Coturnix japonica: one gene and its partners. The protein of the gene in region 1 interacts with the protein of each later gene in a pairwise test. Links are inferred from orthologs where the notes say so. Each region holds a gene or a part of one and is shown in the gene's direction. Other genes may lie near its edges. The genes, in order: IPO13, PAX6 and PITX1.

Region 1 (10,566 bases):
GTGTCAGGGCACGGCCAGGAGACACGGCGTTATGCACGGCCCCGAGCAGCCCCCGGGATGCCGGGACACTCGCTCTCAGCTCTGGGCTCCCCGGCGTGAGCGGCGAGAGGTGCGCAGCCCCGGGGGTGGGACGCGTGTTGGGGGGGCGGAGGGGGCAAGCTGAACCGAGCGAGGGTGCATCCTCGCTTGGATCGCTCTGATGCCGACCTGGGAAGAGCTGCGGAGCCCATCAGCGGCCGGGGCTCTTCCAGCCGTGCCTGGGGCTGCTCCCACTCGCACCGCTGTCAGACGGCCGGGGCTGCGGGGCTGCCATTCCCTTGCGGTGCCCAGGAGCCCGGCTGAGCCCTGCCTGTTCTCCCCACGAGAGTGCGGAGCAAACGCGGTTCGCCGCGGGGATCGACCTTCTCCCTCCCGCTGCACTCGTTGGATTCCGGGGCCGTGCTGCCGCCGGATGGGAGAAGCCTGTACTGCAGCCCGGCTCCGCCGCACTCCCGTTCCCTCTCCCGGGGCAGATGCTCTCGCTCGGACCGGGGCGGCGGAGCGCGTTCCACCACCGGCGGTGCGCGGCTCCCAGGGGGCGGGCGGTGCCCGGGCCGGGCCGGGGCCGAAGGGACGGCAACCCCGCACCGTGGGCCCCACGGCTGTGTCACCTCCTGGCTCCGGGCCCGCCGCCTGCGAGGGCCCCCGTCCCGTGCCGATGTGCTGCTTGGGCTGAGGGGCCGCGGCGGGGCGGCAGGACAGGGACGGGGGGCCCAGGTTCCGCCCGACGGGGCCACGGGACCCTCGAATGGCCCCTCTGGGGGTGCCGGCCTGGGAAAACCATGACCTGGCAGCAGTGGCTGGCACGGGGCCACGGGACGCCATGGGAGCAACGTGCTGCGTGGGTCGTGCTTGGCCAGGATGGGGATACGGCAGGGGCCTGCTGCCAGCCCAGCCCGGTGCTCGGACCCCAGAGTGGGCTGGAGGGCCTGGCAGTGCCCATGGCAGCCCCTCGGCATGGCATGGCTCAGTGCCACCCATGCAGCAACAGGGCCTCGGGGCTGGTGAGCATCTCCTCAAGGGCTGGGGGGAGTTTGTCTCCTCACCCCGGCAGCACCCTGGCTGCTTCCACCCATCATTAGGCCAGCAACGCTCTCTGCAGCATGTCCCATCTCAATGCTTCTCCACCACGGAGCACTGGGGAGAAAGCCAAGGGGAAGTCCCTGCTGCAGGATGCCACCGAGCTCCAAGGGGACAGCCCTGTCCCTGTGTGGCTGGGTCAGCAGGCGGCGGGTGGGAGCACTGGGGTGGAATGGTCTTGGAGAGAGCAGTGTGCTGATGTGCTGTGTCCCCATGGGAAACACCCGTCCCACCCTTCAGCCGCACTGTTCGGGGCTGTGTGCCTCAGCTTCCAGGCAGCATGGTGGGCAGGCAGTGTGGGGCTCGGGGGTGGCTGCACCAGGGGACCCTGTGCTAATGGATTTGGAGCTCCTGAGGTCAGGCTCCCACTGCCAGGAAGAAAAACATTCCCAGGGAAGAGCCATGGGAAAAGGGCCCCCACTCTGTGGCACTCCCAGCCACTGCCTTATAACACAGCCTGGCATCCTGGGCTGCTCGTGTGAAGAGCCGGCCTGCGTCCTCCCAAGGAGAGGTGCTGGGCAAAGGCCCTTCTGCCAGCATCCCCAGGGAGGGGTGCACGGGGGGTGTGGGTGTGTAGTCAATGGGGATGGGATGCACGGTGGGGCGCTGGGAGATGAGAGAGGGGATGAACTGCTTGGTGGGACAATGGTGTGCCAGCTGCTGGGCTGCACAATTCCCATTGCACAAGCACTGACACACACCCTATGCTTGCAGCCAGCATGGAGCAGCAAGCAGGACCACCAAAGCCAAGACCTGCAGGACTCAGCACGCATCCACAGCCCAAGGTGAGCCCATGCCTGGCTGCCCATGATGGTCAGGATCCCCCATTCCCATCTCCATCTCCGCGACCGGCGCTCACCCCACCGTGCTCTGCTGTGTTGCAGGAGGGGATGCTCTGGGGGGTCCTCGCCATCCTGTCGCTGCTGGCCGGGCTGGTGGCCGGCACCGTGCGGACCCCACACTGCAACGAGACGCTGGATGCAGCCCCCACACCACGGGGCATGGCCACTGCCAGTGTGGAGGACGGCGTGGAGGTGCCTCTCGCCTGGAGCCAGCTGCACGGTGCGTGTTGGTACCGCCACCCTGGGGTTTGGTAGCACATCCATCCTGGGCACAGGTGGTCACTGTAGGGGATGGGGAGCTCGGTGGTGCTGGGAGGGCAGGAGCTGACAGTGCTGTCCCACTGACCCACAGGTGACAACGTGACGACGGGAGCCCCAGGTGGCACGGAGCTGGCGGAGGACCTGCTGCTGCGAGCCGAGCGCTCACCGACGGGCACCGGCAAAGCCAAGAAGGGACAACGGAAACCTTCGCGTGGTGCCCGAGGGCGCAACTGCCACATCCGCAACCTGATGGTGAAGGTGCGCGACCTGGGGCTGGGCTTCAACTCGGACGAGATCGTGCTGTTCAAGTACTGCAGCGGGTCGTGCCACCGGGCACGCAGCAACTACGACCTGACGTTGGGCAGCCTGTTGCGGCAGCAGCTCATCGTGCCGGGGCCGCAGGAACGCGTGCTCAGCCACCCCTGCTGCCGGCCCACTCGCTACGAGGCCGTGTCCTTCATGGATGTGCAGAACACGTGGCAGACGGTGGAGAAGCTCTCGGCGGCCGAGTGCAGCTGCATCGGTTGATGGGGAGCTGCCGGCTCGGCCTCGGCTCGATGCACTCTGCCGATCCCCAGCCTGGAGGGAGGCAGGAGGGTGGTCCCGGTGTGACACGGCCACGAGGGACCGAGGTGACACGGTTGCGGCGGACGGGGGTGGTTCTGAAACCGAGCCCCTCCGCTCAGTGCCAAGCAGAGCCGGGGGGTGCGCCCCCACCTGGGAGAGATGGAGGGGATGGGGCATCCCTGTGCCGGACTGCTGACCCCACATCCCCGCGAGCATCGTGAGCGGGGCAGGAGGGAGCACCCGGGGGGGCTCCCCGAGGACAGGGGCCAACGTGCAGCAGAATGGGGCGACGCTCAGCCCCAGCCCCGGGTCCCTGCCCGGCTCCGAGGGTCCCCGCGGCGCTGCGGCACTCAACTATTTATTGCTCTAAGTTATTTATTTATTGTTCTCGAGCGGCAGCTCCTATTTATGACTTTGGGCCCGCGGGGCCGGGTGTCATGCAACCCCAGCGCTGATGCGAAGCCCCGGCCTCGGGCTCCTCGTGCCCGCAGCGTGGTTTTTTTTTTTTGTTTTGGTTTTTTTTCTATTATTTGTTATATAAAAAAAAAAAAAAAGAAGGAAAATAACGGGAGGATAAACTCTATTTTTGTACAGCCGCCTTTTCCTGTAGCAATAAAGCGATGGGCCGCACGGCCGACCCCGCAGCTCCGGGCTGTACGTATCTCCCGGCGGGGCGGGGCGCGGGGCCGGGACTACCGCTCCCGGCGTGCGGTGCGGCGGGGCCGGGCTGCGGAGCGGGGCGGAGCGGTGGGACGGGGCGGACGGACGGACGGAGGCGGGGAGCGCTGCTGCCCTGCGCCCGCTGCCGCAGCCATGGAGCGGAGGGCGGAGGCGCCGCCGCCGCCGCAGGGCCTCGACTTCACCGTGGAGAACGTGGAGAAGGTGAGAGCGGGGCCGGGGGAGGCGGATCGGGCGCCGCACGGTTACGCCGTCACCGATGTCGGTCTCCCGTCGCGGTGTGGCCGCGGTGGGGCGGTGCGAGCCGTGCCCGCTGCCCGCGGGAGGGAGATGATGAGGCAGAAATGGGAGCGGGAGGCAGGGCTGTGCATCCCGAGCATCCTTGGGTTGGTGGGGGAGAGCTCTCGGAGCCGCTCCGTGCAGCCCCGCTGTGTTTGCGGTGCTCCCGAAGAGACCGGGGCCGCTGAGACTGGAGATGCGGGAGGAGGCATCGAGCCGCTGCTGGGAACCTGAATCTGGCTGGGGACCGAGCAGGGCTCCCCGGGAGGAACGGCTTCATGTGAGCGATGCTGGGGGTGATGGAGGCTGCGGGCGTAGCGGTGAAGGGCACGCAGTGAGCAGCACAGCCCCCCAAAGCTCCCCAGCTTATGGGCTCCCAACGCCTCGACTCTCTGCAGGATCCTGGGCAGTGCGAGGCAAATCCCAGAGCCCTCGTTTTGCCTGTTTGGGGACGGAGCTCCCTGCCAAAGCTCACGGCGGTGAGAGCATCACAGGGGCTGGCCCCATCGCTTCTGGCCTGGGGATGTGTCACACCGGTGCCGGGTGCCGGTTCCCTTTGTGGCTGCAGGTGTCACAGCCCTCATCCCCATGCTAGCGACACAGAGCTCGCCCCCAAGGATTAGCCCTTGTGTGCAAAACGCCACAATAACGCTACCTTCTGTGGCTTAATCCGCATGCGGGCAGGGCTGCGGGATCTTTTTGCCTCCGACCTCCCTATGCTTCAGCAGGCAGCGACTGTGCCTTTGTCTGCACTGGCACGGGAGGGTGAGCAGTGCCCGGGGGCAGCCAGGCATGGGAGCGGGCAGATCTGCCCTCTAGGATGCTCTGCTCTGCTCCCATCCCCCTCCATGAGCCCTCACAGCCGCAGCTTTGCCGTCGCCTTGACATCTACAGGAGATGCAGCTGTTGGCCATGGAGATGGAGAGGGAGAAATGCAGGGTGGGAGCAGGAGGAGCCCAGAGGCTGAGCATCACGGAGCCCTCCCTGTATCATTTCAGGTGGGGTATTCTTGTACAGAGCTGGGCTCTCGCTGGGGGCTGGGCTGGTGGGAGGGTGGTGGGCAGAGCTGTGTTGTCAGAGTTGGTACTGACAAATAAATGATGTTCCGCTGGCCTGGGCTTCTCTGCCTCTCAGGTTTTGTGCATGGCTCTATTAATATCACTGAATAGTGATTGAAGTCGGGGTTTGGCTCGGTGCTGAGTCAGGCACTGTGATGAGCTCTGGGGTGGGAGCAGAGCGAGGAGTGGGGGAGCTCCCGTGGCAGGAATCAGAGCATCTTCAGGTCCCTGTGGTGTGTGGCATTCTGGCATGGACAGGCAGTGATGTGGGCCTGGTGTCACAGCCCTCGGGATGGCTCTTGTGGCTGCCCCTGGGAGATGCTGAGGCTGATGGGGCAGCGGTGCCTGTGAGGATGTTAGGGGCAGAACAGGAACATTCCTGTAAGATTGAAGGAAGAAAGGACTCATCCTGTTGGCTGTGAAAGCAGATCTTTGCTGCAGACAGTAGGTTCCCCCCAGAACCAACCCTGGCTGAACACCTTGCTCCTTCCTGTGCCATGATGTTGGGCAGACAGAGGCACATTGTGCTGTCTATTGCTCTGCTGTGTTGTGCTTCACCATCACAGGGCTCCTGGTCGCCTGTGACTTGCAGTGCAGGGGTGGCACAGGAGCTGGCAGCATCTCTAAGTGCTTCTGAGCTGGTTCCTGGGGCAACAAGAATTGCTAAGAGGTGATGAACAGGGTCCATCCTCGCAGCTCAACCCGGACTCTGCATTCTGTGTCCCTTTCAAAATGCTGATTACTCGTGTAACCTCAAGGCCCCGCTGCTGCTGGGGGTGGCAGCTGCCCTGGGGTGTTGCACAGAGCAGGGTGAGCTCGGGGCTGCCATGTCTCAATCTGGGCTGAGGACCACACGGCTCTCTGCAAGGAGATACCTGTAGCTAAGCAGCAGGAGGGCAGCCCAGACTGCTGTGGGGCTGCAGCATCACCTCTGCTGTCAGGCTGGGGGTGAAGCAGCAGCATGTTTTTTGGGAGGGCGGAACACACAACAGCTTTATTTCCTATCTGTTCTCCTCCATGCTTCAGCAGGCGGCTGCTTTCTGCTCAGGCTCTCCTGCCATTTTGGGGGGAGGATGGTGGTTGTGCGGGGGGAGGCGGGCTGACGTTCCCTGCGCTCAGCAGTGGCAGAGTAATGGCTGTGCTGCTGCAGGCCTGGAACAAGTGCACGGCTGGAAAGCAAGGCAAGAGGCTGCATGGGGAAGCACCGCGGCTGGAGGAGGCTAAAGAGGGATGCTACTGCCCCGGGTGCTGGGCACAGAGCGTTTATATGGGCTGTTTTCCTTGCCTGGTTACCTCTGCTGACAGCAAATCGGCCTCTGGAGATGCAGTGTCTCTGCTGGGAAGCAGCAGGCAGCACACTGGGTGTATGGTGCTCCTGGCACCCTGCACATGGTGCTGATGGCACCTCTCTGCTGGGCAAACTGACAGGGCCTCTTTTCATTTGGCGCTCTGAACTCATGGGGCAAAGTGTTGTGTCTGTTCTTTGCTTTGGCTTACACTGGTGCTGGGCTCAGAGCAGCTGCTGCAGCTCCTGTTCCTTGCTGGTGCCATGGTGTGAGCTGATGTCCATTGTGTGTGCTTGGCAGGAGCGATGCTCAGGCTGCTCCCCATCGTGCCTCCCAGAGGGACCAAGTGGGAGCTGTGACACCATGGATGAGTTCCTTGGGTGGCTGACACCACTCTGGCAGTTGGAGCCCAGCAGGGCTCTGACCACTGCTTTTTAGAGCAGGGAGGGCCCATAATAACAAGCTTGAATTATTTTCAGCCAGGCAGAGATGGTGTTGGAGAAAGCTCATTCCCTGGGCAAAGGGCAGAGCTGACAGCCTGACTGTTTACTGGGTCTCATGTTACAGGTTTAATTGCAGAGGAGGCAGGTCTGGTGTCAGCCACGCTTCTAAATCAGAATGCACAAAGCCTTCCCATTAGCTGTCGCTGCCCAATTTCATGCCTTCTGCTTCTCTCTCCTGGCACTGAGTTCCCTTCGTCATCTTCAGCGCTTCCTTATGGGCTTGAGTGCTGGCTGGCACAGTGATGTCTGGAGTGCAAGTCAAGCAGCAGCTGGTGCCAAAAGCTGCTGCAGAAGGTCTCTGCCTTTTTTTGCTAGGGATGAGCATGCTGCATGTTCAGATGCCTCCTGCAGAGCATGGTTATAGTGTTAAAGCCCATCCTTGAGGATCCTCTGAGGGCTTCCTTGTGCTATGCAGAGCCCCACAGAATGTACAGGGGGGCATCCTAAGCTGGAGGCCACCCAGGTGAGAGCCACCACACCACCTCCTGTGTGTCAGGATGCTCGGGGACAAGAGGAGGAAATGAGGAAGCCAGCAGGGATGTTCTTCCAGAATATTCTTCTGCCCTCCAGCAGCTTGCAGCATGAGTCTTCATAGTCTGAGTAATTAACATGTTGCATGCTTTGCAAGCCTCGTGCTGAGTTGGAGGTCCATGAGGCATGGCTGCAGGTTGCACCTCCTAATGTAATGCCTCTGTGAGTCTCAGGTGAGGTTGCTGGGAAGCAAGCTTTGACAAAGCAAATAAGACAAAGGCAGTGCGAGGAGGAGATGGTTGGGAGCTGGAGCCCTGCTGCAGGATGACTCAGGCTGCAGCGGGGGAGCAGGACACTGGCTTATGTGCAGATGGGGGCCAGGTTCCCAGCCCCAGAAGCAGCTGAACTTTTAGAATGTTTGCAGCTCCTGCTTGGTAATGAGGTGAGTTGTTGCTGTGATGGGGGGCACTGCTGCCAGTGGCTGGCCTCGTCCTCCAGCCTGTTTCATAACCTTCTGCTTTCTCATAAAGAGGTTATCCTCATTTTCCCCCTCCCAGTCTTAAGAAGAGATGTTTCACACAGTGTCCCTTTCTGCAGCGCTCCTGCCATTTTGTCATGCTCTGTGCTCTTGTGCTGGGAAGCAGCATGAGGTACAACCGCTCGCTTAGGAAGCGTGTTCTTGTGCCCTAGGCTGCCAGCTTTGCATGCTTAAAAATAGGGCTTAAATTCTCTCCTGGGTACAAGAACCACACAAGAATTTCACAGAGCTTTCAAGGGGGGAGGTGGTGGATATTTGAGATCTGGAGCCAGGATGGGGCTATCAAAAATCCTCTCCACCTGCTGGGCTCACGCCCTGGCTTCCAGCAGGTGCATGCTATCCTGATGAGTGCCATCCCTGCTCCTGGGGCATGCAGTCAGTGATTTGAATTAAGCTGTGCTGTGCTGAGCAGGAGAGCTCGCTGCTAGAAGATGGAGCTCTCTGCAAATAAAGCCTTGTGGCTGATGTAGGGCTGTGTGTGTGGATCAGTGGGCTCTGCAAGGCCATAACTAGATCTCTCACTGGTAAGTGCTGTTCTCTTCCACGCAGGGAAGCTGGGTGAGCAGCTCCAGACCATCCCAGGTGGCAGCCGTAGGGTTTGATGCCAGCTCCTGGCTCAGCTGTAGCTGGGCGGGCTTGGGAGCACTTCAAAGGGACCTGGAGCAGAGATTAATCCCTGAGCTTAGTGACTGTGGTTTTCCAGGGCTGCATAAAACCCGACAGACTGAAACTTCAGCAGCAGCGCTACAGCTGCTTGTGCTGATGGAGGCGGGGAGAAGAGGGGTGGGGAGGACCTGGCCACCATCGCTGTGGGGCTGCTGGGCTGGGCCTAGCACAGGCACCCCATGGCAGCCCCAGTGTGGTGAAGGAGAGGATGGAAGATGACTCAGGAAGGGAAATTTCTAGAGTGGGAAGGAAGGGAGAACAGTTTTGTGGGTCCTGCTGCTGTGGGTCTCTTGTTTCCACCCAGCCCTGTGGTGCACCAGTGGGTGCCATGTCTTTGTGCTCCCCTGGGCATAGGACAGGGCTATGCTCTGTGGCTACCCTGAGGTGCTCACTTTCTCTTTCAGGCTCTCCACCAACTGTACTACGACCCCAACATCGAGAACAAGAACTTGGCTCAGAAATGGCTTATGCAGGCGCAGGTGTCCCCGCAGGCCTGGCACTTCAGCTGGCTGCTCCTCAACATGGACAAGGTGCCCGAGATCCAGTACTTCGGCGCCAGCGCCCTCCACATCAAGATCTCCCGCTACTGGAACGACATCCCAGCCGACCAGTACGAGAGCCTCAAATCTCAGCTCTTCACCCACATCACCCGCTTTGCCGGCGGCTCCAAGATCGTGCTGACCAGGCTGTGTGTGGCGCTGGCCTCGCTGGCGCTCAGCATGATGCCCGAGGCCTGGCCCTGCGCCGTGGCTGACATGGTGCGCATGTTCCAGGCTGAGGACTCCAACGTGGACGGGCGGGCGCGCTGCCTGGCGCTGCTGGAGCTGCTGACGGTGCTGCCTGAGGAGTTCCAGACCAGCCGGCTGCCCCAGTACCGCAAGGGCCAGGTGCGCAGCGTCCTGGCGCAGGAGTGCGGCTCTGTCTTCCCCTTGTTGGAGCAGCTGCTGCAGCAGCAGGACTCCCCAGGCTTCATCAAACAGAAGGTGTTGAAGTGCTTCTCCAGCTGGGTCCAGCTGGAGATCCCATTGATGGACTGCGAGAACCTGATCCAAGCAGCTTTCACCTCCCTGCAGGACCCGGAGCTCTTTGACACAGCAGTGGAGGCGGTTGTCAATGCCATTTCCCAGCCAGATGCTCAGAGGTAAGGGCAGCTCCTCCTGCGTGCTGCTCCCAGGCATCTACAGGGGAATGGGGTGGGCAGGAGAAACCTCAGTTGTTTTCTAGCTACCATTTGCCTTGGAGATTATGATGGTTTGGAAGAGGGAGAGGTTGTAAGCAGCTGAATTCTGCTTTTCTCACCTGATTGGTGCTGCAAGGCTTAGCACCACAGCTGACTAGCAAGCACCTTTGTGTTTTGCACGTTACTGTTCCTGCCCACCATGCTAGAGGACTTTTCCCTATGTATGGTATGGGTATGGGCTGGGCTAGTATGGAGGTGCTGCTCACAGTTTGCCTGGCATGCTGTGGAACATGTGATTCTAGAACTGCTTGTGCCATGTTTGAGCAGCATCACCCAGGATCCCCAGCCCTCCTTCACAGCAGTAAGGGCACAGTTGCAGCCCCTCTCCAGCAGGTTTGCTTATTCCTCTGGCTCCTGGTGCCAGGTTCTGTGGCCCTGATATGGGAGCAGCTGCCCTGGATGCAGTCAGAGATGCTCCTCTGTTTCATGCTTTAGGTTCAGCTGAGGAGCGTATCTGATGCAGAGATAATAAAAGCAGACCGGGCTGTCTTCTCCCCACCCCTGACTCCAGCAGCTCAGTCTAGCTGAGTTCTCCTCCTTTGTTTCTGGCTGTCCAGAGATGGTCCTGCAGTTCAGTGCTACGGGGCTCTGAGCTCGTTGGCTTGGCTACGTTGTCCAAGTTGCTGTCGGCTCCTGGGAGTGGTGCCCACAGAAGGGGAAGTGCATCTCCTCCTTGCTCACTCGGCCACATCTCCTGGCTGCTTAGCAACCTTTCCCATCCCCACCAAGAGGAGGGCTTAGCTGAAGCTGCGCTGAGCACTGCATCACGCAGACTCCAACCCTCTGCAGTGGTGAGGATGCTGCTGCAACTGCCTGCACTGCTCCTTGCCTCAGCTGTCAGCATCCACGGAGCTGTGCTCTGCAGTTAGTAGAGGTGCTGCGGCTGGATGTGACCGGTGTCAGTGTGCAAAAAGGATTTTGATGCATTGCTCTGTGCTGGGCGCTCACCCCACTGCTTCACCCCATCCTCCTCCCCGGGCAGCTCTGTTACTGATGGCGGAGCTCCCCCCTCTCTGAACATGGGGACAGTGGGGCCATTGTCACCAAGCTGCCCTGCC
Region 2 (10,572 bases), on another chromosome or scaffold:
TTTCTTTTCTCCTTTATTTCTTTTTTCCTTCCTTTTTCTTTCTTTTTCTTTTCCTTCTTCTTTCTTTCCCCTCTTTCTTTTCTTCCTTTTTCCTTCTTTCTTCTCCCCTTTTTATTTCTCTTTTCCCTTTTTTTCCTTCTTTCTTTTCTTCCTTTTTTTCCATGATTTCTTTTCCCCGTTTTCTTTCCCCCTTTTTTCTTTCTTTTCCCTACATTTTCTCCCTTTCCTCCCTTTTTCTTTCTCTCCCTTTCCCATATTCTTCTTTCCTTTTTTCCCCTTTTCCTTCTTTTTCGTCCCCCCCGCCCCCCTTCCACCCTTTTCTTCTTAATATTCATTCATTTGTTTCTTTACTCCGTTTTTTATCCTGTGCCTTTTCCTTCTCTCTCCTCCCTCCCTTCTGCCCCCGGCCCGGACATTACGTGCCCCAGTGGATCTGAGAAGCACCAAACGCGAACTCCCCGCACCCTCACGGCCCCGTCCCATCACCGCCAAAGCTCTGCGGTCCTTCTCGGATCGCGAAGCCTAGAACGACCCGGTGCCTCACAGCGCATTTCTCCCTGCGGCCGTCGGGACCGCCGCAGCCCGGCTCTGCCCGCACTCTCCGCTTTGGTTGTATCGGAGTCTCCGCTCCCAATGAGGCTCTTTGAGAATAAAAGAGAGCGTTTGTGCCCATTATTCATATCTCGGGAGTCCCGGGCCTTCACTACGTTAAAAGAGCCCCGAACGGACAATTCGCCGTCCGCAGATATTATATTTGTGAAACGCGCCTTTGTCGGAGCTTTTAACACCTTCTTATAACGAATCATTTGTTCTTTTCTCTTTAATTTTGATAGACAATTAGCCATCAAATATACACCAGTTGACTGTAACCGAGCATTAAAGTGCCCTTTATTTAACGCTAATTTAGCATGGCCGCTTTGTTTCACTTTGCCATCCGCGGACCAGGTTTTGTGGTACAAATAGGTGCAATTTGGGGGCACCCCGTCCCTCCCGGCCGGGGCGCTGCGCTTTGTGCCGCCGAGCGGGGCCGCACCGCGCCGAGCGGCACCTGGAGCCGGGGCATTAGCATTGATATGGAGTTAGTTGCGATGTAATCTCCTAAATCTGCCCGAGATTCGGGGAGATAATTACACTTTCGCTGAATTGCCAGGGGTCAGCGTCTCTGTGGACCTGAGGAGTTGATTTACTAACAATGGTGTTACATAAAAAATGGTGTTTGAGATTATAATGTTAATGGATGCAGCCACTGGGGAAAGCGGGCGGGCTCGGCTCATTCGATGGAACTCGCTTCGTGCTTTACACGGATTCAAATCACAGCAGCATTTAATTTAGAGGAACGAGTTCGGCGGTAATTACAGCGCACGGAAAGGTCGCGGCGCCGGAGGAGGGGATTTTCCCCAAGTTGGGATGCGGGGTTCGGCGGATCGGCTCTGCCTGTGCCTCTGCCCGGCCGCAGCCGTGGGGCCGCAACTCCGCGTTTGGGATCGTGGGCCCAGCAGAAACCAGTTCGGAATATCAAGAAGAATTTAAAAAGGGGGAAAAAGGATGATGAAGAAGAAGAAAATAAAATAAACAAATAGGTAGATAAATAAAGAACATGGGAAGAAGAGAGAAGAGGAGAGGAGAGGAGAGGAGAGGAGAGGAGAGGAGAGGAGAGGAGAGGAGAGGAGAGGAGAGGAGAGGAGAGGAGAGGAGAGGAGGAAGGAGAGGAGAGGAGAGGAGAGGAGAGGGAGAGAGGAGAGGAGAGGAGAGGAGAGAGAAGAGAAATAAAGAAAGAGAAAAAAGAAAAGAAGAGTAAAAGAAGAGAAAAAAAGAAAAAAGAAGAGTTAAAGAAGAGAAAAAAAGAAAAAAGAAGAGTAAAGAAGAGAAGAGAAGTAGAAGAAAAGAAAAGAGAAGAAAAGAAAAGAAAAGAAAGAAAAGAAAAGAAAAAGAAAAAGAAAAAGAGAAAAGAAAAGAAAAGAAAAGAAAAGAAAAGAAAAGAAAAGAAAAGAAAAGAAAAGAAAAGAAAAGAAAAGAAAAGAAAAGAAAAGAAAAAAGAAAAACCAATATCTACGGAGGAAATGCCCCACGGGTGGGACTGCAGTGTCCCCGGGGCACAACCAGCTCAGGGCAGCGCTCGGGGCAGGGCACGGAGCAGAGTTTGGGGTCGGGCCGGGAGCTGCCCCAAGCCCGGGACACGACGATGCTCCCGGCGGGGTCCGGCCCGTCCCAACCCGCACACGTCCGCCCAGCACGGGGGGGAAGAGCTGCCCGACGGCCATCGGGACCCAGCACCAGCCCGAGCCCGGACCGGCCGCCGACGGAGGCAGCACAGAGAGACCCCCCCAGCGCAGGAGGCGCGGAGGCTGCGTGTGATCCCCGCGGCCGCGGTGCAGGGGCACAGCCGCGCAGCTCGGCGGCAATCTGTGTGTTAATTGAAAAGTTCTGAATTTTAAGAGGTTGTGACAAGTTATAATTTGTCTCGTCAACGTCTGGGGTCCGCGCACGGCGCTGCAGCTCGGCGCCCCGCTCCGTCTGTCAGCGAGCAGCTCGCCTCGCACTGCCTTCCCCTCGCCCCGCGCGGAAATGACAAATGCGCGCCTTTATCCATACAATTTATTTCATTATTGTTGCCGGCACGAAGCATCACGATCAATCATAAGGAAGTCCAGTTGGCAGGTGTCAATCTCGCTCTGTTTTTGTACGTCTCGGTCTATATTTAATCCAATTACAGGGGTCACGGAGTAAGTGCAAATCCCCTTGTTACAACTCACGTCTTATTCAAGATTTAAAGTAAAAAGTCACCGCGGTCACATGGGCGCGTTGGGACCTCCGCACCGCCGCCCCCTCCCCGCGGGCGCTCCGCGGCGCGGTCGGGCCGGTGCGGGACTTTACGGCTCTTTTCCCGAGCGTTTGTGTGCAAATGAAGGGTCTCGTTATTGCGCGAGCGGAGAGGGAGGCTTTAATGACGGGAGATCTTTCCGCTCATTGCCCTTTCAAATACAATTGTAGATCGAACTCAGCCTTGTCACGTTGAGGAGCGGTGCGTCCCTAACATCCAGGACGTGCCTGTCGGCTCTCGGCGGATTGCATCCCATCACCCCCGGGGAATGCAGCCCGCGTCGGGGCTGCGCGGGGCGAGGGAGGCGCACGGCCCGAGCGGGGTCCCGAGTCGCGGTTATTATGGAAATGTTCGGGAGGAGGGAGAAGGGAGATCATTCCAGACAGCCCGAGCTCAAGTTTTTTTGGCCAAATTAATACCATTAAGAGTCCTCGAGAGGGAAAAAAAAAAAACAAACCCAAAACAACGCGGAGATAACGCTCAGCCACGAAGCGCAAAGAGCTGATTTACGGCTGCGTTTCTTTTTCGAAGCGAAGCTTCCTTTGGATTAGAGCACGTCCTCGGGACGCGCCTCTGCCCGCAGCGGTCCCGCAGCCGCCCCGGACTCCGCACACCGGGCTCAGCCCCGCCCGGCGGGACCCGAAGCGCGGCACTAAAAGGCCTTTCGGTGCCGACCCCGCGGGTTTTGTTCGAGGTTGCGGGGCTGTCGGGCTCCGTCGGGACGGCAAAGAACGAGGCGAAAGCGGCTCAAATCCGAGTCGCCGCAGCGGGGCTGAGCGCGGTCCTGGGGCGAAAGGCGGATGTCAGACGGAGAAAATTCTATCAGACTACGAAATAAACGTGAGGGGGGATAAAACCGAAGTACTGTAGACCACGTACCTTACGCACGGGCGCACGTCCCAGCCAAGCGCTCACCGAGCTCCCTCCTCGCGAGGCGCAGCAGCCCTTCCACTGCCATATTCCCCCGTTCTAGAGGGTTTCCTTCAGGTTACACCGTTTCCCGCAGCGGTCCCGGCCCCGCAGCCCGCACATCGCCGCAGTAAACAAGCGGTTCTGATGTGCTTATTATTATTGCTCAAGTTCTGCTTGGGTAGAGAATTAACGCTCATTATTACACCGCGTGCCGCGGATCGCCCCATCCCTGCGAGCTCGGGGCTTCGGGGCACCTCGGGAAGGGGATTAAAAGAAAGAGCAACTCCTCGTCGCGGTGGAAATCGAAGACGTACAGAGTTTATCAGCGTGCAACGCTCAACGGAGCAACACCCGGAGGGGGCACGGGGGTCCTCGCGCCCATCGCCCAAACACGGGCACACCAGGGACACCCCACGCGGGGCAATGGGGCGCAGCGCTCAGGCTGCCCCGCGTGCTTCGGGAGCATCGCTTTGCAGCTTCCCCCCTCCCTTATCCTATTTATTTTTATTATTTTTATTATTATTATTTTCCTGCGGCCTCTACGGCGCTCCTCAGGCACACGCGGCCCGCTCTCTTCCTCCTCCTCTCGCACCACTCCGCTCTGCTCGGATTTTTCCGAGGAGATAAAAGCGCAAACAGAGCTCGGCGGTGCTGCGAGGGCACCGTGTTCGGCACTCCGCTTTACGCCTCGGCAGCTTCTGGAGAGCGGCACGGCGCGGGGCGGCAGCACCTGGCCCTGCTGCGGGAGCCGTCTCCCGCTGCTGACAGGCGGATAAACGGGCTGGAGCCTCGGCGATCCCGTCTCTCCCCTCCCTCGAGGGCCCCGCCGGGTCGCGGGGTCCTCGGCCCCTTCGTGGCAGCGGCTCCGAACGCGCCTCACGGCCGCAGCCCGGGACCGGGGTCACCCCGCGGGGCCGTACCTCGAGGGGGGGCGGCGGGACGGGCCTCGCAGCCCCCCCGGCTCATCGGCAGCTCCGTTAACACCGAGTACAGTCCCACAGAGCAGCAGGCCGGGGGGGGGGGTGCCTCTGTGCCCGTACGTTCGTTACCCTCTGACACGTGAGCGCCGGTCGTAGCCCCTCTCTGCGGGCGGGGACCCACGTCGGGGCCGGGCACGGCTGCCACAGCCCTAAACGTGGGCCCGGGACGAAGCAGAGCGGGGCGGGGTAGAGCCGTCGGGGACGAGGGGTAACCCAGGAGGCCCCGTCGGACGGGGTGAGGGGCAGCCGGTCCGGGGTAGGGGGGGGGCGGGGGCGATCCCGGCAGCTTGGCCCCGGGCGGGGGCCGTGCCGTCAGTGCCGTCGGGGCGGGCGGCGGCCGGGCTCGTGTCGCCTAAAATGTCTCATTAGCTAAGTACTGTCCGCCGTGACGTCACCGGGGCGGCCCAGCCAATGGGGGAGGCGCTGGCGTGGATATTAAGGGAAAGTTAGTGCAAAGGCAGCACCCCTCTTTTATTGTCATTGACATTTAAACTGTGTGGCAGGTTCCGGCGTAGGAATCGCCGAGCGGAGCCGCCAGGTGCCTCCTCGGGCCGCCGCGCCGCCGGACAGGTAACGGCCCCTCGGTACCCCCACCCCACCGTCGCCCCCGCCCCGTCGGGGCCCGGGGACGAGCGCGCTCCGCGGGCAGCTCGCGGCCCAACAGGTGGGGAGCGGCTGCCGCGCCGTCGGGGGCAGCAGCTCAGGGCCGCGGGACCGTGCGGGCTGCGGGAGGGCTCCGCGCCGCCGTCGGGGGTTCGGAACGGGTGTCGCGGAGCGGGAGGGAGGGGAGAACCGCCGAAGGGCGTTGTGACCCCGAAATAGCGGCGAACAAAGGGCCGGCGGAGAGCCCGCAGACCCGCTTACCTGTGCGAGGCGTCCTCGGGCGCTCCTCGCCGCTGCTGAGCGGCGATATCGCGGTAAATGGACATTCTCCGGCAGCAATAAATCAAACAGCATCTCTGTGAGATCCTCCTCCCTAATTAGAGATGTTTATGGGGACGGTGTTTATCCAGCTGTCACGCCGGGAGAAAGCTGTGACATAATTACCTCTGACCAGAGCCGCTTTTATATGCGCATCCCGCTGACGTATGGCGCGGCGGCACTGAGAGATACGGGATCGGGCGTGGGGTTCGGCCGAGGGAGGACGTTTGCGACCATTACATCCCTTTAACCCAACTTTCGGGCTTCCCAGACGGGGAACGCCGCGATTTCAACTTGTTTCCGAGCGCGACGTGCCGAGGGCCGGGCAGAGGGAGCGACAGCCGCTGCCGGCGCCGTACGCGGGGTAGAGCGGCCCGGTGCTGGGCGGTGTGCGGAGCTCACGGGCGGCCCCGGACAGCTCGGCCGTTGGAAGTGCATTGGGGAAAGGCTTTGAGGGTCCCGAGGTGCGGGATCATAAGCCTCCCCTCTCTCGGTCTGTAATCAAACCCGCTCTGCGCTGGAGAACGGAGCTCGGCTGCTGCTCGTCCCAGACAACGGCATTTAAAGAGCCGCTCCACTCGGCCTTATCCCGCCGGTGCGGTGCTCCATCCGCACGAAGCGGTGCCAAAGTTTGGTTACCAGCTCGGAGAGCCCCGTGTAACTCTGCGCTCTGCGGGTCTCACCCGCTGTCAGCACAGATCCGAATAGGCACGCGGTGTCCCGGAGGCAAAAGCAGCGTAGTCGGAGCCGTCAGGGCTGGTGTATCTCTTCGCTCTCAGACCGGACTGGACAAGGGGACTTTAAGCATTTTTCTGGGTATTAAAAAAGGTACTTCGCAGCCCGGACATTAATCCGAGGAGACGATACGGGGTGTGTAGAGCTGTGCTCAGCGCCCGACAGAGTGCGGCGAGAGGGGACCGCTGTGCGGCACAGAGAGAGCGCTCGGGTGGGGGGGAGATGAAGAGAAGCGTGGAGAGAGGGACGTTACATTAATTAGGGGCAGCAATTAAAGAAAACACAGACAAAAAAAAAAAAATCTGACCACGTATAGTGGTTGCTTACTTTCATATATGTGTGTGTGTATATTATATATATGTGCATATATATACATACACACACACATATAAAACCTATTTTTCTCCCTGCTCTCCTTCCTCCCTCTCCCCCCCTCCCCCCCTTTTTTTTTGTTTGTTTGAATGATGTTCTAAAAACAATAGGGGAAAGTGGAGGCACGGCCGAGTGCGGGAGGTGCCGGTCTCGTGCGGGGCTGCGGGGGCCGGAGGCTTTGCAGGAACAAGAGAGAGGAGGTAGGAATAAAGCAGGCAGCCGCAGGCAGAGCTGTGCCGGAGGGCTTCGCCTTCTCGGAGGGACCGGCAGCGGGGAGGAGGCTGCTGGGTGAGAGAGAAAAGTCAAAGAAAAATCATCACAGGAGCAAGCGGGCGTTTAGTGCGGAGGGCTCCGGGCACGGCGCTCCCCCTCCCCTCCCGCAGCCCCGCCCGAGGACACCGCGTCCCGGCCCCGGGGCGGCTCCTCCCGTTGCGGGGGGGTCCCGTTGCGGGGCTGCCACGGCCACGGGACGAGAAAAATGGCGGCGGGGCCGGGAAGGGCCGGGCCGAACCGGGTGGCAGCGCGGGTCGGACACGGACAGGGCCCCGCACCGCAGCTCTTTCTTTCCTTCAACTTTCGGCTTTCTTCGCCCCCCGACACGCACCGCCGTGACGTCAGCGGCGTTCCCCCTCCCTCCTCCCTCCCCTCTTTGGCACAGGGGGGGCCGGGGGTGGTGGTGAAAGTTTTTTGGGACGGAGGGGACACAAAGGACGCAGAGCGGGTGGGGGGGGGCAGCAGCAGCGCGGCACCGGGACGGGTGTGGGGAGCGCTCGGAGGAGCTGCACGCCTTTCTTCTTCTCCCTTTAACTCTGCGGAAGGGAGCGAAGAAGCGAGAGCAAACCCCAAACTTGCTCGGTTGGTGGAGATTGCTGCGGGAAGAAACTATCCGGGGGTTGGGAGGGGGGGAAGAAAGAGAAGAAAAAAGATAAAAGAGCAAGAAAGCGAAGTGACAAAAGCGAGGCCCGTGGACACGGCTGACTTCCCCCCGGGGCAGCTCCCAGCCCCGCTCCCGAACTCCCCCCGGGGCTGAGTGTCCCCGGGAAGGGGGCGGCACCCGGGGGTCGCTTTGCGGTGGTTCCTCTCTCGCTCCGCACAGTGATGCGGGGAGCTGCGGTCGGGTCCCCCCCCTCTCTGCCCCCTCCCGCTCCCAGGCAGCTCCGGCGGCGCGGGGCGGGCAGTGCCTGCGGCCGCGGCCCATTATCCCGCTCCCATTGAGCGCCCTTTCACTCACATGCAAACTCCTTGGCAGAGTCGTTTGTCTCCTCATTGTACTTTATTTAAGAATGCAATGGTTGTCAGCGCTCTTATTCAGTTTCAAGATACTTTATTGATGAGCTTTGACTTTTAGCACTTTTCACATGTCAAGAGAAGTCAAGTGTATGCGGCTACGACTTCATTTCATGCTCCGCGCGTCCGTCCCTCCCTCCCTCCGCCCGGTGCCTCCCGGAATCCCCGGCCCCTCTCCGTCTTCCCACCGCCGTTCCGCCCCGCATCGGGGGACTCCCCGCTCCCGTCCCCTCTGTCTCCTCGTCCTCGGGGCCCTACACCTGCGGGGCGAGGAGGGGGCGGGGTTCCCCGCAGCCCTCGGCACGTGGGGCGCTGATCCGAAGGGCCCTCCAGGCCCTCTCGAGAGCCCTCCACGAGCTGAGTGCGGCCGAGCCCTGGGGGGCGAGATGCCCCGTTCCGCGCAGCGCCCGCCCCCCCTTCCCCCGCGCTGTGCCCCCTCTCTCCCGTCGCTCTCTGCCCCCCGCCAGCCCCGACCCGACCCCACCTGGGAACGCGCCGCTCCCTCCGCCGCTCAGCACCGCTCCGCCGTGCGCATCGCATCGCGGGGGGCGGCGGGGCCGGGCCGCGGGTGCGGAGCCGGGGCCGGGAGCCGGGCCCATCGTATTCATATGCAAACGGCTGCGCCAATTGAGCCGTGCCGGGCGCGGGGCGGCCAATCGGCGGCGGGGAGGCGATGGCGTCGCTTTGCATAAAGCAATATTTTGTGTGGGAGCGAACGGAGCATTTGCATGTGCGGAATGATTAGTGGGTTTGAAAAGCGAGCCCCGGCCCGGCCTCATTTCCCGCTCTGGTTAAGGCGCAGGGAGGAAGTGTTTTGCTGGAAGATGATGACAGAGGTCAGGCTGTGCTAATGGGCCAGTGAAGAGCGGTGGAGGCGAGGCAGGAGCGGCCGCATCCATTAGCGCGGGGCCGCCAATCAGAGAGGTGTGCTCCGGCCCCGCTCCGCCGCACACCGCGCCCGCTCCGCGCTGACAGCCACCGCGGTGTCAATCTCTGTCTCCTTCCCAGGACCTCGGCATCGCACCGCCGCCGCAGCCTCAGTGGAGACAAACTATTTTGAGGGCGACACTTTGGGAGCACGTCAGTGCCCGGCGGTGCGCCCCGTCCTGCTGACAGCAGCGGTGCCGCGGACGGGATATGCCTCTGCGAGGTGAGTCCGCGTCGCTCCCCGCACCGCTCCGCAGCCCCACGCTGGGCTCCGCTCCCCTCGCTCCCCCTCTCCATCCCATTTGCATTCCGCGAAGCTCCCGGGGAACTTTCCGGCCCGCAGCTCGCAAACTTTCTGCTCTCTCGCGGTGCCCTCTGGACGAGCCGCATTGGGATCTTGCGGCCAGCGGAGCCGCATCCAGTGGCACCGCCGGGCCATGCGGGGCCGTGCTGGGCCGTGCGGGCCCTGTGCGGCTCCGGACGAGACGGAGAGGGCGGGCGGCAGCGGCGGTGCCCAGGGGGCTGCTTTGTGCCGCGGGGCTCGGCCGGGGCTGGGACGCCGCTGAGGCAGGGGCTCGGCAGCAGGAAGACGGGGCTCGGGACTCCGGGGGGAAAGAAGACGGGGAGAAGCACCGCGTAGGCCTAGGCGGCCGGGACCGAGCGGGGCTGAGCGTGATCGAAGGGCCAAGAACACTTCTCGCCACCCCGGGCTCTTCCCGAGCCTCCCCGGCTCCTCCGGGCCCAGCTCCGCTCCGCTCCGGCTGCTGCTGCGCCGTACGGGATCTGCTTCGGTTCTGCTCGTGACCCCCACGATATCGGGCCTGGGATCCCCCTCTGCTCCAAAGCCTTTTTCTTTTTACTTTTCCCTTCTCCTTCTCCTTCTTCTTCTTCTTTTTTTTTCCCCCTTTCTTTTTCTTTTTATCATTATTTTGTAAGGAAGTCGCAAACTTCTCCGCGCAAGCAACAAAGTTGGTCCTTTCCCCCTCGGGTTCTTTTCCCCTCTCAAAGTGCCATCAGAAAACGCAGGTCTGGCTCTCACCCGCCCGGAGGTGTCACACCGCGGTCACTTCGGGAAAGTTGGGATAAAGTTTCGTAGGCCGCCCGCACGGGCAGGTGCTGCGCGGGGCAGAGAGCGGCGGCGGCCCCGTCCCGAGGACATAAAATAATCAAAGGGCCTTCGCCCATAAATGTTTACAGCCGCTGACCTTTCCTGGCGCCCCATCGCACGGCGATTCGTTTTGAGCTTTTACTCCTTCGCCTCGAGAAAGGGAAAGTTTGTCACCCTCACCCCTCGTTGCGTTTCTGCAGAGGGAGGGGGGGCGTGGGGGGGGGAAATATTCCGGAACGTCACCGGATCTGGGCCTGAAGCCCGAGCTGCGAACGGGGCCCAGCCTGCGGAGTTGGGGCCCGCACGGCCCCTCACCGCTCCGCACCGCCGCGGGGCTCCCAAGTCCGGGCTCTGCCGCGGGGCTGAGTTGTGCCCGGTGCCCCGGCAGCCTCCCGCACGGAGCTCGGGCTGCGGCGGCGGTGTGGGCACCTCCGGATTCGGACGGCTGTTTTCTGCCCTTCTTTCCCAGCGCCGGGTGCTGGTGCCAGCGGCGCCGTAAATATTTACTA
Region 3 (8,760 bases), on another chromosome or scaffold:
GGGTGACAAGGGAAGCTGGGAGAGGGAAACAAAAGCTGCAGGAAGGAGCCCGGTGGCCGTTCTGCGTTTCTCGGCAGGAGTTTCTCTCTCGTTTCACTTAATATTATTTTCTTAAATGATGTTGCTGCTCGTGTCGGTGGTAGCAGGTCCCGCCGCTGCAGCACGAGGCAGGGCCGAGCGGCACACGGCGATACGCAGCGCTGCGCTCCGCTCGGCAAACAGTGAGGGACGCCGGCGTCTGGAAGGGACTCCGAGATTAGAGGGGATTATTGGAGATTAGAGAGGGAGATTTGCTCCATTTTACCGTACCCCTCTATGTGACCCCTCGGTGCGGGGCAGGGCTGAAGACCTGCTGCTTTTTTCTTTTCTTTTTTTTTTTTTTTTTTTAATCTACGAGGAGCTACAAAATACCTTTCGCATTTTCTTTCTTTCTTTCTTTTTCTTATTTATTTATTTTTAATGAGGGAAAGGAAAATAATAATAATAATAATAAGGCGCAAATGCCAATTGAACCAAAAGCTCTCCCTGTTTTGAAATGGCACCGAGGCCGATCTAAGGGCCGGGTTTCAGCTGAAATCACGGCGGGGCTGAACGCGGGGCCGCGGCCTCAGCACTTCGCTCCACGCACCCACCCGGGATACCCCGCACAGCCGGCGGGCCCGCGAATGGGGACGGCGGCCCCGGGAGGGCAGTGAGGAAGGGAGGGTTTTGCTCTGTTTGCTCGGTGGTCCAGCGACCGGGGCAGCTCTGGGGCTGCTGCAGGCCTTGTTTGCTCTGCAAACCACTTAACGCCAGGAGAGGCCATCCGAGCTGCGATCGGCCCTTTCACCGCGTTGGGGTCTCCGTAGAAGTTCTCTCTCCCTCCTTTTTATTCCGGAGGGCTCCCAGAGCGAAGGGTGACTTTTCAAGGCCGAGTCCCCCGACCCCCCCCCCCAACCCCGTCAGCCGCACGCAGCCCACGATTCTGTTTAACCTCGCAGGGATTAGGGCTGCAGAAATGCCTCCTCACCGCCTCCGCCTGAGCCTGCGGGAAAGGCGCCCAGCTCAGCCCGGGGGGAGCGGACGGGCTGCGCACCCGCGCAGTTCCCCTTGGGGCAAAGGTGCTCGCATCCCGCAGCGGCGCTGCGCAAAGCCCCGGCCCCCCCCAGACCCCCGTCCCCGGGCCCACATCGAGCTGCTTTCAGGCCTCGCTGTGCCGTTCCGACACGGCCGAACCGGAGTTCGGAAAGAACCGAGGAGTGTGTTCCGAATGGTTCTGTCACCCGCAGCAGCGAGGCCAGGAGGGATTCCCGCATTCCTGTTTCTATAGTGCACAAATCCCGGTCGCCAAAACGCGACTGAGATTTTTGTTGTCTCTGTTGTTTGTGCTTCTTTCGAAAGTAGTTTTTTTTTTCTTTCTTTCTGCAGAGAGCTTTGCTCGGCCCGGGGTTAAAATAAACAGTCAGGTCCTAAAAGCAGCAAAAGAAGGGAAAGGAAAAAAAGAGAGAGAGAGAAAGAAAACAAAACAACAACAACAAAAAGTGGGGGAGTAAAGAGGGAGGGCGACTTTTGCAATTAATTGCTGCGGGTTTTACACCCCTGCCCTTCCAAAGTTTCCTGTCGCGGCCGAACACAACAAAGAAAACGGAGCAAAGATCGCGCCTTAGGTTTAAAGGAGTAAAAGAAAAACTCATGGGCCGCAGTGAGGGCGATGCCGCTGTTATAATCTGCTCCCCTCGATCCTTTTCGCCACTCAGTTCGAGCCATGCGGGTCCCTCGGTCTCCCCGGGCCGGGCCGGGCTGCTCTCGGTGCTGCGGTTTCGGTCCCCGTGGGTACCCCAAGCGCGGCTGCAGTGGGGCGGGCAGGGCCGGGGGTGAGGGGGTGGGGGGGGCTGCCTTTGTGTGCGTCTATTTGGGTGTGAAACAAACAAACAAACAAAAGAAAAAATGTATGAGAAAAAAATATATATATATAAATATGCCCAACCCCAACATCCCACCGTAGAAAAAGAGAGAAGCGGAGAGCAGAAAAACGAGGACGGGGCCGCCGACGACCCGGCAAAGAAGAAGAAGCAGCGGAGACAGCGGACCCACTTCACCAGCCAGCAGCTGCAGGAACTCGAGGCCACTTTCCAGCGGAACCGCTACCCCGACATGAGCATGAGGGAGGAGATCGCCGTGTGGACGAACCTCACCGAGCCCCGAGTCCGGGTAAGCTGGGTGCTGCGGGGCTCTGCTGGTCCGGGGGGAGCTGAGGGAAACGGCCCCTTTTGGGAGAGGGGCCGCGAACAGAGCCCGGCCTCTGTGGGATTGGTTTTGGTTGTTCAGATCGGTGTAGTGAGGTTGGAGAGGAGAAAATCAGCTCCTGGCTGCGGAGGTGAATTAGGGCTGTGCCGGGCCTTAAAAATGGAGCGGTGGGACCGGGCCGAGCCCGGGATGGAGCCGGTTTGTGGGGTGAGACCCCTCGGCTTGATCCAAACCCTCGGGCCCTTCGCATCGCTCCAGTTACCCCCATAATCCTGTTAATAACGAGGACCCCGTCCCCAGTAAACCACCGCTCCGCGGCTCCTCGGGATGGTGGCTCAGCCCTCGGGATCCGCGCGGAGAGGTGCGGAGCTGCCGCGCATCCCCCGCGGGGACAGCGCCGGGGGTGGCTCCGCTGTTCTCGGGACTGCGAGCAAAGCGAAGGACGGGGGCTGGGGGGAGACTGCCCTCCAAAGTCAATAAGCGCTGTGGACACATTCCTGTAAGACGAAGGCGCTGGGTCTTTCCACGGCTCCGAGAAGAGCCGATGCCATCCCGGAGTATATATAGCCTCGGCGGTTATTTAGAGAGAGATTTACGTGCTGCATAGCGCTGCAATGAACAACCAAAGCGGAACGGCTCGGGCCGTATCGATCCGCAGCAGTTTTTCCCACCTCCCCTCGCCTTTTCCTCCCGAGATTTTTCCCCCGCGTGGTTTCGGTACCGCTGAGTCCACACACGGACGGAGCAGAAATCTGGGAGAGAAAAAAAGGGAGTTTGAGAGTCACCCCTCAGCCCCTCAGAGCCCTTTCTGGTAATTAAACTCCAAATGATCCAATCGGATAGCAAACAATTCCGTTTAAAATCTTCCGTGAGTAAACACGCTCTGCATCCGAATGCATTGTACTAATTGCGTTTAAAACAAAACAAAACAAAGCCCGAGAGGAGACCGAACGGCATTAATATTGCTGGAATATTTCAGGAAGCAAATAAAACTAATATACGAGTGGCCATTAACATCATTTCGTTCTCCCTCTGTGTGGAGATGTTTTGGTTTGATGTTCTGAGATTGCAGATTGCAAATCTAACCTTAATTTGCTGTGAGGGCCTTCCTTTAAAATGTCTAGGAGCCATAATTAAAACTATTACCCTCATTTTCAGGAAATTCCTGTCTGGAAGCACCTTCCGAGGAGTATATTACAGGTTTTGAAAACGTTGCCTTTCGTTTCCTCTTCGTATTTAATACTGGATTCTTTTTATTATTGTTATTTTTTCAATTGACTCCGCCATCCCTTCTTCCCTCGCAGTTTTTTCCATCCCTATGAGCGCTGGTGTAAGAACGTTGCGCCATCGCTGAGCGGGGAGGGGAGGGCAGGGGCGCTGCGAGGAGCGCAGCCTCCGCGGGGCTGAGCGCAGTGAGGAGGGGGCGGCGGAGGAGGCTGGAAACGGAGCGCGGTGCTGCCGGGTTTAACCCGGGGATAGAATTTGGGAGCCGGGCGGCCCCTTCCTGCCCCGGCTCATGGATCCCATCGCGGGGGGCTCAAAGCCTTTCCAAAAAGAAAAGAAAAAGTAAATAAAATAGGAGAGAGCCTGGATCGGTTTTTTGCATCAAACACCAGGAGCGGCCCCTGCTCCTCTGTTCCCCAGTCAGGGCTGTAAATTCTCATTAGATATAAAGGCAGAGGCTGCATCCATCCAAGGGCCATGCAGGGACTGATTTTTTTTATTTTTTTTTTTTTTAAACCTAAACATACTAATCCAATCCCCTTTTTTATGATCTGTAACAGGGGACTTTTATTACACAGCATTAGCATTCGGAAACACGGCGGAGCCGGGGCGAGCCGGCCCTAATCAGAGCTGGCCGTGCCTTCTCCCCATGGCGAGGGGAGAGGGGCGGAGGGGGATGCGGACACCCGAGCAGCCCCGCTCGCAGATGCCGCTGAATATCGGCTGCGAGCGGAGATGCGCGGACAGGGAGCAGAGGGGCAGGGATCGATGGGACCGGGAGAGGTGGGACTGGGAGCGACTGGGGCCGTGCCCGAGCGTGGGGAGGTGGGGGACTGAGGGGGTGAGGGGGTGTCGGGAGCGTCTGAGCGCTACTTGCGCGCCTCTGCGCGGCCGGGAGCGCATCGTGCGCGGCGGGGCAGCTCTGACCGTGGCCTGTCCCTCCCTCAGGTTTGGTTCAAGAACCGCCGAGCCAAGTGGAGAAAGCGGGAGCGGAACCAGCAGATGGACCTGTGCAAGAACGGCTACGTGCCGCAGTTCAGCGGGCTGATGCAGCCCTACGACGACATGTACGCCGGGTACCCCTACAACAACTGGGCCACCAAAAGCCTCACCCCGGCGCCGCTCTCCACCAAGAGCTTCACCTTCTTCAACTCCATGAGCCCCCTCTCCTCGCAGTCCATGTTCTCGGCTCCCAGCAGCATCTCCTCCATGAACATGCCCTCCGGGATGGGCCACTCGGCCGTGCCGGGCATGGCCAACTCCGGCCTCAACAACATCAACAACATCAGCGGCTCCTCGCTCAACTCGGCCATGTCGTCACCCGCTTGTCCCTATGGGCCGCCGGGCTCTCCCTACAGCGTGTACCGGGACACTTGTAACTCGAGCTTGGCCAGCCTGAGACTCAAAGCCAAGCAGCACTCCAGCTTTGGTTACGCCAGTGTGCAGAGCCCCGGCTCCAGCCTAAACGCCTGTCAGTACAACAGTTGACGGACTTGACACGAACCACCTCCGACGAACAGCGCCGACAAAGCAAAACAAAAAAAAAAAACAAAACAAGAAAAAAAAACAAAAAAAAAAAAACAAAAAAAAGAAGAAAAAAATACAAAATAAAGCAGAAACAAAGCGACGTTAAACGGAAATGAATATATATATATATATGTGTGTGTGTGTGTGTATGTAGGAACCCGATGATGTGTAAAAGCAAAACCCGAGCAAGTGAGAGAGGGAAAGAAACAGCACAAAAAGGGGGGGGGGGGGGGGAGGGAAGGCAAAATCATAATGATAATAACGATGATAATAAAACAAAACCCGAAAGCTCTGCGGACTTCGATTGTCTAAAAAACCACCACCAACAAAAATGAGAATAAATAAGAATAAATAAATAGAAAAAGAGATCCGACGACACAACCAACAAAAGCAGCGCTTTAAAAACGAATAAGCCAATAGTAACCATTAAAAAAGCAAACCACCAAAATAATAATAATTAAAAATAATAATTAAAAAAATAATAATTAAAAAAAAAAAAGGGAAACGGACCAGAAAACTTTTTGCAAGAGACACCGAAATCTGGTACATGGATGAGTTGCAATTTTTCTCTGGATGATGCGGGTTGTATGTGTTTACTTGAACTTGCACAGGAGGTGGTAAGGCGGCCGCTCCCCGCGGCACAGCGGCCATTGGGGGCGGCCCGGGGGGAGCGCTGGGGGCGGCGGCGGCCGCGGGCGCACGAGGGTGGGGTATGGGGGGGAGGTAGGGGGGAGGATGGGGGGAGTTCGGGTGATGTTTACCACTGAGAAACGGAATCGCAGTCCAAAAAAGGGGGATGGGGGGAGGGGGAACAAAAAGGAAAAGAAATAACAAAAAGAAAAAAAATTAAAAAGATTTTTAAAAAATAAATTTAAAAAAAAATAAAAGAAAAAAGGGAGGGGAGAAAAAAAAAAAGATATAATTCGCAGAGTCGGTTCTGCGGGGGGAAATGGTTAAAATATTAGGTATAATAATGACAAGGGTCAACCACTTATATAAGGTTATATTTATATCTGCCGTTACGTTGTGCCGGCTCATTGTCCTTGGCCGTTGAATAAACTGTTTTTAAAATGCATGATTCTTGATGTTTTTTTCTTTAGTTGGAAGCTATAATCCAGTCATTCCCGATCCTAAGCAGCTCCAGGTTCCTACCTCTTCGTCCTTTCCAAACGACTGCAGTATCCCCGGGCGTGAGAGCGCAGACACCCTCCAGCGATGCGAAAACTCTCCAGCGTTTTCCCCATCCAAAACTCTTATCCTGATAATGAAATTATCACCCGTCTTTATTTAATCGCAGGGTTCCAGTCTTCTTTTATTATTATTTTTTTTTTCTCTTAAAATAATAATAATAAAGAACTTTAAGAGAATCTAAAGGAAAAAAGGCCAAAAATGGTCTGTTATGAAGCGAATCCAGATACTGCATCTCTGCTTGAGAACGGTGAGCTTCGGAGTCCGGAAGGGTTGCATGGCAAAGCCGAAAGCGTTCCTCGCTTTTCTAACAGTGAAAGGAAAACCAAGGAACCAAAAAACAACCCCAAAAGAGAAATCTTAAGGTGTTCTTATCTTAAGGAGTTCTTATGTAAATGTAGATAACTTTAACAAGTGCTTGTTGGCGAAAAAAGAAAGAAAAAAAAGGGGAAAAAAAAGGAACTGATAAATATGATCTTTATTAACACGCATACCAAACGCATATGAAGTTTAATTGCAGGCATATTTGTTGCTTCTCTTTTTGTTGTCGGTACTTCTTATTACCTGTAGATGACAAAGAAACGTAATATAAAATGCACACGGTACTTCTTTCCCAGTGTATTTCACACCTGTGGTAACGTTACGCTGGATGTTTCAGTTATGCTGTTGTGGATACGGATGCGGTATATATATTGTTTTATAAGTTATGTTTTGTGATTTTATTATTATTAAGTCCTTTTTTTTTTTCCTTCCAAAATTAAGAGCATGGGAATAATAATATTAATAATAATAATAATAATAAACAAACAAACAAACAAAAAAACCAAAAACGGTGAAACGAAATGTAGAAATGCCTTTAATGTTGTTTTCTGGGGTTTGAGACATGGACTGCTTGAAAGCAAAGGAGATTTCCTCCACCCCCCCTCCCCCCCTCCCTGCCCAGTGGTGGTATTTCGGGGGGGTCCCTCCGCTTCCTCCCGTAACTCCGCCGTCCCCACGACCCCCATCCCCGCCCCCGGCCCCGGGGAGGGCACACAGCCCTGCGGCCCCCGGGTGCAGCCCGGCCAGAGCCCCCCCCCCCAGCTTTACGGCGTCCTATCGCCGCTGCTCCGGTGGGGCAGTGGATGCCGCGTGGATTTCTGCTCCTCCGCTATAATAACCCCGAGCTCTGGGAGAGGTTCGTTTTTCCCCCCTCAAAAGAGTCAATCCTCGTCCTGAGAGGAACCCCCCCTCCGTGTAGCACAGCCCCGGGGCCCATCGATCCCTCTGAACCGTTCCTTCCGTTTTACTAAGGTGTTTTTCTCCCATATTTCTCGGATTTCCCAGATATTCTCAATTTAAGGTTTATTCGATGCCTTTCTTTTTTCTTCCCCCCAGCACCCCCCTTCGAACCCAAGTTGCCCCAAGCCCCACTCGCTGATATCACACCCGTTGTCGTTCCGATGAGATTTTGCCGAAAACGCCATCATTTCGCCAAAACGATCCGAGAATTCCTCTGTCCCAAAGCCGCTCCTGGTGCAGGGAGATGTGAGCTGCAGCCTGGCCCTGCCGAGCCCCGCGGGGTCCTCTGGCATCAGAGGGACACTGGGGGGACACTGAGCCCCGGCCCGAGCCCCTGGGTCTTCCTGAGCCCTCAGAGCCCCGGAGTTGGGGAGGCGGAGGGTTGGGGGGGAGGGCACCGGGCGGGGAGCTCACATTGTCCGTTATTGTAGCTGCACGAGCACGCACATCAGGTCAGGAAAATTCCTGCTTTTCCCGTCCTCTTTCCTGGGGGGGTTTATCTGAAAGCCCTCCGCTGTTATTTCAGCCTGGATTGGCTGCGTTGGTTTTTCTCCTGTTCCTGGAGGCAGCACCGTTAGCCCTAAATCAGGGCAGCAGCTACGGTGCTCGTGTTCAGCCCTAATTCTGCTGCCAGAGCCCCAAAGCCCCCCAAAATGCAGCTTGTGTGTGAAAGCCAGCGGCTACTGGGGTCTCTGCAACCACCATCAGCATCTTCCCCCCACTGCCATGTGCCAGGGGAAGCTCACCCACCACTGTGGGGGGGAAATGTGGGTTTCTTGACCCTTTTATGGCTTAGAGAAAGGAAAATTCCAAGTAGACATTGAGCAGAAAGCACCTCCTACAACATCCCCGTACATTTTTATGGATGTCCTGCTTCCAGCAGACTCCAGGTCTCCCCCACAGTGGTTACAATCAAATTAATGGGGAGATTTGGTGGGTTCGAAGCATGAGACCTCCTGTCCAAGCACAACTTCCTTAGGGATGTCCTCAGAGGACACCTCTGTCACAACCCAGGTGTGTGCCCAGCCCTGGGGGGGACATCATTACATGGTCTCTGAGCCCCCAGAGGGCTGCCCCCTATACATGACTCCCCGCCCCACTGCTCTTTGAGTGCTGGTTTTCAATCTCCCCTCACCGAAGCCATGTTGTCACACACCAGAAGTGATGCTTTTCTCACCCTGCACATTCCTACAAGTGGTTTCCAGCGTGGGAAGCTCATGCAAGGATTGCTGAGGCTGCGTCAGTCCATCCCCAGTGGGTCTCTGCCTTTGGCCGTGCTGTACTGAGCCCCAGAGCTCTACCCACTGCCTGCAG

The links.
Region 2: the proteins of IPO13 (region 1) and PAX6 interact in a two-hybrid assay, tested with the Homo sapiens proteins (2 studies listed by BioGRID and IntAct). The link is inferred for Coturnix japonica from reciprocal best matches to the Homo sapiens genes IPO13 and PAX6.
Region 3: the proteins of IPO13 (region 1) and PITX1 interact in binary tests that used the Homo sapiens proteins (3 or more experiments, as listed by UniProt). The link is inferred for Coturnix japonica from reciprocal best matches to the Homo sapiens genes IPO13 and PITX1.

The regions. Positions count from the first base shown.
Region 1 is NC_029523.1:17,979,755-17,990,320, forward strand, and holds the start of IPO13 (importin-13), read left to right. Parts: upstream 1-3,521; 5' UTR 3,522-3,602; coding exon 3,603-3,671; intron 3,672-8,672; coding exon 8,673-9,409; intron 9,410-10,566. Other genes in the region: ARTN (artemin), read left to right, coding at 1,824-1,904, 2,004-2,181, 2,314-2,750. UniProt on the Homo sapiens protein: Functions in nuclear protein import as nuclear transport receptor. Serves as receptor for nuclear localization signals (NLS) in cargo substrates.
Region 2 is NC_029520.1:4,644,663-4,655,234, forward strand, and holds the start of PAX6 (paired box protein Pax-6), read left to right. Parts: upstream 1-5,203; 5' UTR 5,204-5,283; intron 5,284-5,577; exon of another isoform or gene 5,578-6,790; intron 6,791-8,767; exon of another isoform or gene 8,768-9,036; 5' UTR 9,037-9,178; intron 9,179-10,572. UniProt on the Homo sapiens protein: Transcription factor with important functions in the development of the eye, nose, central nervous system and pancreas. Required for the differentiation of pancreatic islet alpha cells.
Region 3 is NC_029528.1:2,529,681-2,538,440, reverse strand, and holds the end of PITX1 (pituitary homeobox 1), read left to right. Parts: intron 1-1,984; coding exon 1,985-2,190; intron 2,191-4,398; coding exon 4,399-4,938; 3' UTR 4,939-4,982; downstream 4,983-8,760. UniProt on the Homo sapiens protein: Sequence-specific transcription factor that binds gene promoters and activates their transcription. May play a role in the development of anterior structures, and in particular, the brain and facies and in specifying the identity or structure of hindlimb.